Linked DNA regions of Oryzias latipes. Each later gene encodes a partner of the first gene's protein in a complex. Links are inferred from orthologs where the notes say so. Each region holds a gene or a part of one and is shown on either strand. Other genes may lie near its edges.

Region 1 (3,577 bases):
CATTCATTTTGGATATACAGTTTGTTTCTTTGATTGTTTGTTTCGTTCAGCTTTTCTTCAAAAAGGCTCTGAAGTAATAGAATAATGTTATTTTTATTCATATCTGCGGCCTTGTGCGGGGGTCACGTGACTAGTGGGTTTCTCTTTTTTCCATGGAAAATGTCCTAAAATACGATAGATTGTGGACTAATATCAGTCTATTATTATTATCTATTCTGTTAGTATTATTTGCCTTTCAAGATAAAATGTCTGTTCTTTGTCCTGTTTTTTGTAGAATAAATTTTTCCCAAAAGTGCAACTTATAGTCCAAAAGATACTGTAGACATTAGCTGCAGTTACATGTTCAAAATGTCTGTGATTGGATCAAAGATCAGATTAGAATTGAACTGTGTGCATGGGCCCAGAAAAACTTTATCCAATTATCAAGCGTTTACACGCCAGACATTTGATCAAAATAAATCTTTTTGACATGCGCAGAACTATCTAAACCACTGGAAATGGCTGTAGAAGAAGAGATAGCGAGTTCCATTGAAAACAAACAAAGCTCCGGCATAGAGCGAGATCTAAACGGGCTTTTATTATTATTATTATTTATTTATTTATTATTATATATTTTAAGTGACTGTTTGCTCATAATTTTCTAAATATGTGCGGCCAGTGCTTTACTCTTGGATGCACAAACCCGGAAGAAGGGTTAGAATTAAGCTAATATCAACATTTAGCCTTGGATGCACTTAAAATCCGTGCGGATAATGCCGCAAATTTATTTGATTGTTTGCACGATTTCTCAGGACTGCGCAGAGCAGCATTTCTATATTCAAAAGCTGCCTCCGCCAGCTTACACTGAAGCTGCTCTGAGACTCTTCTCCCGGGAGATGCGGTTCTCCTGAGTCCGGCAGCTCGCTCACGGAGAGCAACTGGACGGACTGTGGTCCAAAGTTTTCTGTGGAACGCACACCGTAACAACGGACCTGCAAACATGCTAGCAAGCTACAAGTCTGGCTGCTCTGCTCATAGTAATGATTCGCTTACGTGGAGCAGCCGGCCGATCCTGTTTGCACTCCAAAGCCTTCTCTGGAGCGCGTCTCTGGAGACGCCACACCGTCTATGCATGATGTAAAACACAGAGCAGTAGTGACCCATAATCAGAATAAATTCTTTACATGAACCACGATCAGATCAACAATCGGCATAACCCACCCATGTCGATTGGAAAGAAATTTTGATCCGAATGAGTCTGATCGGGTCAGAGTATTCCGAACGGCGTGTTTACATTACACATTTTGACTCGGATCAGGCGTTCATTCCGATTACTTTTGGAACCGCAGCTATTGACAGAAAACTCAGCTTTAGGTATGTCACCAATGCAGTTTTCCATTGGGTTAGTTTAAAAACTAACAGAAAAATCTCTGTGTCTACAAATGTGCTGTTTATACTGAGCTGATAGAGTACTTCAAATTTTACCAGCATTTCAAACCATATGACCTTTTTGGGTAAAACGGTGCCGCCCCACCCCTCGAACAACTGTAGCAGCAATTAAAAGCCTCCCCCTCCTCACATATGCACACTGTAAGCACACACAAACCTGCCCACAGTGCTCTTGCCCAGTAAAACCAGAGTGGTTTTGAATGAAAACATTTAAGTCGTTCCTGCGCGCCACACTATCAATAGTCTTACATAAAATATGCTCTGACCCCGCCCCAGCTCTCATGTGTGGGTTAGTAATGGATGTATAGATTGGCGCATAAAGCCAGATACATCGAGTGCATGAAATATGTTCTATAAAAACGCTGACAGTACAGGCATAAAACAGGGGGAGGCTGTTTATATAAAGTAGAGGGAATTTTTATTTTGCGAGATTAAGAGATTTGATCTGATATTTGAGTCTGTAAAGTGCTGCTTTTTAAAGCATCTGAAGTCAACTGATGCGACCGCTTTCCTTTTTGACATTCTGGTATTTCCCCTGAGCCTCAGCCTCTGAATTCCGCTTGAATAAAACATGCAGACAATCGATTGGAGAACTCTCTTATAATTCTGCTGTTTGGCACAATCACAGTGAAACGAAATATTTTGTAAAAAGATTGACAGCAGCTCAACTTCTTTTCATCAGAGTGTGTCATTTAGAAGACACCTGACCTCATGAGGTGTTTCCTCGCTCCGATTGCTGCTTGTTTTTGCAACTGTCCTGGTCTGAGAGGACTGTGACCTTTTGTCCAGTCCTCCGTCACTCTCAGCTTTCTCATTAGCCCCCAGTCCCCCTCAGAATAAACGGGCTTTGAACCTGCCTGTAACACACATTAACCCCTCTGTTCCTCCACTTCCTCAGCAAAGAGTTTCCCTCATGAAACGGCTATGCATACGCCAGCAGTGTTCTTCAGTCCTGAAAAAACAAAAGTGTCCTCTCCTGTTCTCTGTCTGACACTCTTCCAGACCCTCGGGTGGATAATTCATTTAGTCTTCTCTTTAATTTCCCTTGTAGGATGTTTGATGTGGGAGGCCAGCGCTCGGAGAGGAAGAAATGGATTCACTGTTTTGAAGGAGTAACAGCCATTATCTTCTGCGTCGCTCTCAGTGCTTATGATCTGGTGCTGGCTGAGGACGAGGAGATGGTAAGGAAGAGCCCGCCCTTTGATGTGTGCTCGTCTGCATGGAGGATTCATCTTTGCTGGCTTCAGAAATCTACGGAGTAGTGTCGATTCAGTGGTGCTGAAAGACATTCATATCCCCCAACTGTCCTTGTTATGGCTTTATTGTATCAACCTTCAAGCAGTAAGATGAGCTCATTGAACTCCAGTTGAAGTATAATCATTCAGTTACATTTTTTCTCTTCAAGTGACATGAATCATTGCCTTAATGTGTTGAACAGCTTATAGGAGCTCAGGGGAGTCTCTGATGAATCTACATTGTCTTGAAACAACATTTCCTCCTGGTGGCGGCTTCGATGTATTGCTGTTGTGTGACTCATGCCCATACGCCTCCTTTCAGAACCGAATGCACGAGAGCATGAAGCTTTTCGACTCCATCTGCAACAACAAATGGTTCACGGAAACCTCCATCATCCTCTTCCTCAACAAGAAAGACCTCTTTGAGGAGAAGATTACCCACAGCCCTCTCTCAATCTGCTTCCCTGAATACTCAGGTAGGTGGCAGGCAGCATCAAGAGCATGCAGGACGTTTAAAAAGCGTCACTTTAGAAATGATGGTCATTTGCTTCCGCCTCCCAGGAGCCAACAAATTTGATGAGGCTGCCAGTTATATTCAAACCAAGTTTGAGGATCTGAACAAGAAAAAGGACACCAATGAGATTTACACCCACTTCACCTGTGCCACTGACACCAAGAACGTGCAGTTTGTCTTTGATGCTGTCACTGATGTCATTATTAAGAACAACCTCAAGGACTGTGGTCTTTTCTGAAGGTAGGACTTTGGAATTGCTGGGCTGGGTGTAACATATTTTTTCACTCAGTGATGTGAAGAATGAAGGTCATTAAAAGTTGTGACCCACTTTCCCTCAAATGTACAGAAACGTTGTTTTCAATTTAAAACCAAAGGCTTAAAATTTATTCCCTAAATAAAT
Region 2 (4,424 bases), on another chromosome or scaffold:
TATTTGACAATATTTATGAAAATAAAAATCATAAAGAAAAATATTTGGTAATCTTGATTTAGAGGTGAACTCAAAATTGATCATTAAAATTTACCAAAAAGTTAAAACACTGAACTGTAAATGGATTCTGGGCAAACCATTCAGGTTTAAGGGAGTTTCAAGTGAAGAACTGCTTATTGTGACATTCTTGCTCCAGACACAGGAAGTTGCTGTGTTGGCACTGGTGGCATTCAAGAAGCAGTGGTAGGATGAAGGTCACTTGATCAACACACTTCGTTTCCCCAAAAGGGGAAGTGGACGATGAACAAGCAACCTCAGTTCCTCAGAAGAACAGAATTGTTTGGAAAACATGGCAGCAAGTAATTTGTAATCAGAAGAGCGGAATTGTTTGGCAAACATGGCAGCAAATCATTCATAATCTACCAAATCAATCTGACCAAAAAAATTGGACACATTTAGTTCAGTCAGTACCTTTATTGTTGAACTTTTTTGTGTATTCTTTTCAAATAAAAGGAAAAAAAATCGGAATGTTTAACGCTTTTCAGAAATGTAGAATAAAACTAAAGAAAAGACTTGAAACTGTGTTTTCAATAGAATTTTATTTTAAAACTCACTAGTAGTTGTAAGGTAGGGTAGGGTCTACATCATGCTATTCTATTATATTGTCATATATTACCATTGGCACATAAAAAGAAAGCATTTTAGCTGATCACCACTAGCTCCACATAGAAAGTGTGTGTGATAGCCTGGGGGCGGTGCTGGCAGCACAAACTCTTCCTGGAAGGGGCGGTCCTCCACTTTGTGACATCACAATATGAAGACCCACTCATTTTCGTGGATTGGGAGGGGCGGGTGCTCAGAAAGCAGGGTTTTAGAGTGATGCACAGAGATCTGTGAAAGGATCAAAATACTGCTTTGGGGTTGTTTTTCATAAGAAATTAACATTATAATATACTTACTATTCATGCAATGCAATGCATTTACTAATTAACAAGGAAGGTTAAAAAGCCAGGAATTCTGACGATAATGATATTTTCAATCCTAGAATTTTGCCTTCTGACATCTGTCATTCTGGAAGGCAAAGAGAAGTGAAAGATTTTAATATTCCTGACGGAACAAAAACTTTCACTTCTCCGTGACTTACAGCCTTCTCTCAAATTAACAGAAGTATTAAAAATAGGGTATTCATAGCGTTCCATAGTAGGTGTTTTGCAAATCCTCTGACAATTTGTGTCCATCCTGAAAAAAAGCTCCATTTCTGTTTGCTCTCTTCTTCAAGGTTTACACTAAATATTACCACAACACCTTTATAGATTATCACCAAGTTGTGCCATTGTAGATATTTTTTGTGTACCTTTATTGAGAGGATTACATGTTACATACACAAGGAGATACATCTAAAAATTATTTAATAAGCTCTACATAATGAAAAATCAATTAGAATGAAGCAATAACTGTTAACAAAATGAAAGTGAGTGAAAAAGAGCAAACATTTGTAACATACAGTTCAAACCTTTTTTTTCTCCTAAATATTAAACTGAGGGATTCTTCTTTGTTGATGGACAATTTTTTTTTTTTTGGGGGGGGGAAACAGGAAGAACAAAGAAGAAATGAAAACGTCTTCCTGCCACAACCCACATCGAAAAGGCTGTTTAAAACACTGAAACCTCAAACAAATTGTCCGTGTCATTTCACATCTAGACCTGCTGAGGAGGCAGACCATGTAACAGCTCGTCATCATCCCAAAGATCAGGTCAGTTTAAGAACTTTTTTAAGGTTTTTGATGCACACATTACAGGCTTCTTCACCTTAACTGTACTACAACGCATGGCTCACGGCATTGTTTTTCTTTTTTTTATAAAATGGGGTCATGGCACTAAGCCAGTGGAAAACTGAACGCAAACTTTATCTCACAGAAGTTCCTCTGATTTGCTCACACACAAAAATTCTCTCGGGTAATTGTGTAAATTTAAACAATAAAAACATAAAGTTACATGAAGTCTTGTGTGTTCTATGGAAATTGTATTTGTATAGATGTTCAGTTGAATATATTTTTTATTTTCCTGAGCTTTACTTTCACCTACAAAGTGCCAATTTGTCAGACATAAAGTAAGACAAGGTAAAAAGAAATTGCAAGCATGCCTTTTTGTTGTAGCATTGTCTTGACTTTATAGACATTTTTTTCAGTCTATTTTATTTTATCTAAAAAAATAAACCAACCAACAACTAGACCAAAGCTGCAAATATTTAAGTATTAGTAAACCACACACACTAGAAAAACATCAAATACTTACAAGCTGTTTTTCCATTAGAATTTGTCAAATTTCTTTAAAAAATGCCATATTAACTTGATTTACATCAACCTGTGTGATCAATGTGGCTCCACACACTGAAAGATACAAAATGTTGCATCTGATTTTTGAGGTCTGTCTCGTCTAAAGTTTGTAGTTTGTTTGTGTTTTGGCTCTGGTTTTGACCTATTTCTTTCCTTCTTGTTAAACAGACGCAGAAATGGACTTAAATGCCACTCTGTTCCAAAATCCTGATGGTCAGAGCCACACTAACAGCACCTGCTCCAGGGACAACGTTTTGAAGACGGTGGTTTTCCCCGTTCTGTACTCCTGTCTTTTGCTGGTGGGGTTTTCCCTCAATGGTGTGGCGGTGTGGGTGTTCTTCCGCATCCCTTCGCGGTCCCACTTCATTATTTACCTGAAGAACATAGTGGTGGCAGATGTCATCATGACTTTCTCGTTCCCTTTTAAGGTTTGTAGTTCTTGCAAACACCAAAACTTTTGTTTACAAGTTGCAGTTAAAAGAAGAAGCTGTTTTTATTTTATTTGAATTTTAATGCTTCTTTTGACTGTAGATTTTATTTAATATCAAATAAGACCTTAATTTCTTTTAAGGTTTCATAATGAACAGAGCTTTTTTATTGGATCTTTTGGACTATCTTGTAGGATACAACCTAAAATATGAAACCTTCTTTTTCCTCCAGGTGCTGTCAGACTCCAACTTGGCATCCATCAGCGTGCGAATATTTGTGTGCAGAGTTTCTTCTGTGCTGTTTTACCTCACAATGTACGTCAGTATCCTCTTCTTTGGCCTCATCAGCATTGATCGCTGCAGAAAGACCCTCAATCCCTTTAGAGGCACTAACTCTGCCCGGCTGACACGCAGGAAACTTCTTTCAGCGGCCATTTGGATCATCCTGCTGCTCTTGTGCCTGCCCAACATGATCCTTACATGTAAAGACCCACCTTCTTCACATTTCTCGTGCAGCGACTTGAAAACAAAAGCAGGGCTGTTTTGGCACGAAGTGGTAAATTATGTGTGCCAAGTGATTTTCTGGAGCAATCTGGCGACCGTGATCGTTTGCTACACTCTGATCACCAAAGAGCTGTACAAATCCTACTCTCGCACAAATTCACACATTGCTGGTGGGACTGATGCTTCATCCTCTACTGGAGAAACATCTCGCAAACCCGATCAGAGAAAAAGAAAATTAAGTGCAAATGTCTTCCTGGTTCTCGGGGTGTTCATTGTGTGCTTTGTGCCATTTCATTTTGCCAGAGTGCCCTATACAATAAGCCAGACTCGCAATGTTCTCTCTGCTTGCAAATTCAAGCTTGTCTTCTTCCAGCTGAAGGAAAGCACCCTTTTCCTCTCCTCCCTTAACTCTATACTTGATCCGCTCATCTATTTCTTCCTTTGCAAGTCCTTCAGGGACACTTTGTTCAAGACGCTGCATCTGCCTCCTGGTACCTGCAGCTGGATAACAGGGAGGGAGGCAAATACAAGCCAACAAATGTCTACATGTAATTGAAATAAAAATTTAACTCAGGATCTTCTTCTTCCAGTCTTTTAGTCTCCTATGACAAAGTTCTATGTGACTTTACAACAAAGCTATGTGAAAAAGAACAAAAGTAATCATCACCTGTGGAGAGCCATCCATGTTCACAATGCGTAGGTTTTTACTTTGTGTTTATACATTAAAACCTGTATCTACACAGTAATTATTGTTATAAAAGAGAAGTGTGATGTTGTCGTTTTGGTAAAATAAAATAAAAACTTCAATATTTTGATATATGTATTTGAGAACTTTAACTAAAAACTGTTTAACAACAGCTTCAGATGCCTCTTACGTTATAAATAATGTCCTGACTGTAAACATTGTATATTTTTATAGTAAAATTCCCTTCTATAAGTGTTAGTTGTAGTATTTGTAGTGAGACTTTTGTCTGATTTTCTTACAAAAGGCAAACTGGAATAACAATAAAGCAAGGATGGTCGGACTCTATCTTCCAAGAGATTTTCAAATCTGCAGTCTGTTTCATATGTACGGCAAAAGACCTGAAGCTGTAATGTCCTTAGAATAACATTAAAAGAGGAAGTTTCTGATCCCGTGGTTACCATGACCCTTTCAT

What was found.
Region 2: the proteins of guanine nucleotide-binding protein G(i) subunit alpha-2 (region 1) and p2ry12 are in contact, whole or in part, in a cryo-EM structure (PDB 7XXI), measured with the Homo sapiens proteins. The link is inferred for Oryzias latipes from reciprocal best matches to the Homo sapiens genes GNAI2 and P2RY12. Residues at the interface, in NP_002061.1 of Homo sapiens: Arg24, Glu28, Ala31, Arg32, Leu195, Glu319, Ile320, Tyr321, Phe335, Phe337, Asp338, Ala339, Thr341, Asp342, Ile344, Ile345, Lys346, Asn348, Leu349, Lys350, Asp351, Cys352, Gly353, Leu354, Phe355; in NP_073625.1 of Homo sapiens: Phe59, Asp121, Arg122, Lys125, Thr126, Pro129, Phe130, Thr132, Asn134, Pro135, Ile212, Leu216, Ser219, Tyr220, Arg222, Thr223, Arg224, Val234, Lys237, Ile241, Leu301, Cys302, Lys303.

The regions. Positions count from the first base shown.
Region 1 is NC_019863.2:7,271,331-7,274,907, forward strand, and holds part of guanine nucleotide-binding protein G(i) subunit alpha-2, read left to right. Parts: intron 1-2,479; coding exon 2,480-2,609; intron 2,610-2,985; coding exon 2,986-3,139; intron 3,140-3,224; coding exon 3,225-3,415; 3' UTR 3,416-3,417; intron 3,418-3,577. UniProt on the Homo sapiens protein: Guanine nucleotide-binding proteins (G proteins) are involved as modulators or transducers in various transmembrane signaling systems.
Region 2 is NC_019871.2:13,121,607-13,126,030, forward strand, and holds p2ry12 (P2Y purinoceptor 12), read left to right. Parts: upstream 1-1,604; 5' UTR 1,605-1,753; intron 1,754-2,503; 5' UTR 2,504-2,511; coding exon 2,512-2,763; intron 2,764-2,995; coding exon 2,996-3,823; 3' UTR 3,824-4,292; downstream 4,293-4,424. UniProt on the Homo sapiens protein: Receptor for ADP and ATP coupled to G-proteins that inhibit the adenylyl cyclase second messenger system. Not activated by UDP and UTP. Required for normal platelet aggregation and blood coagulation.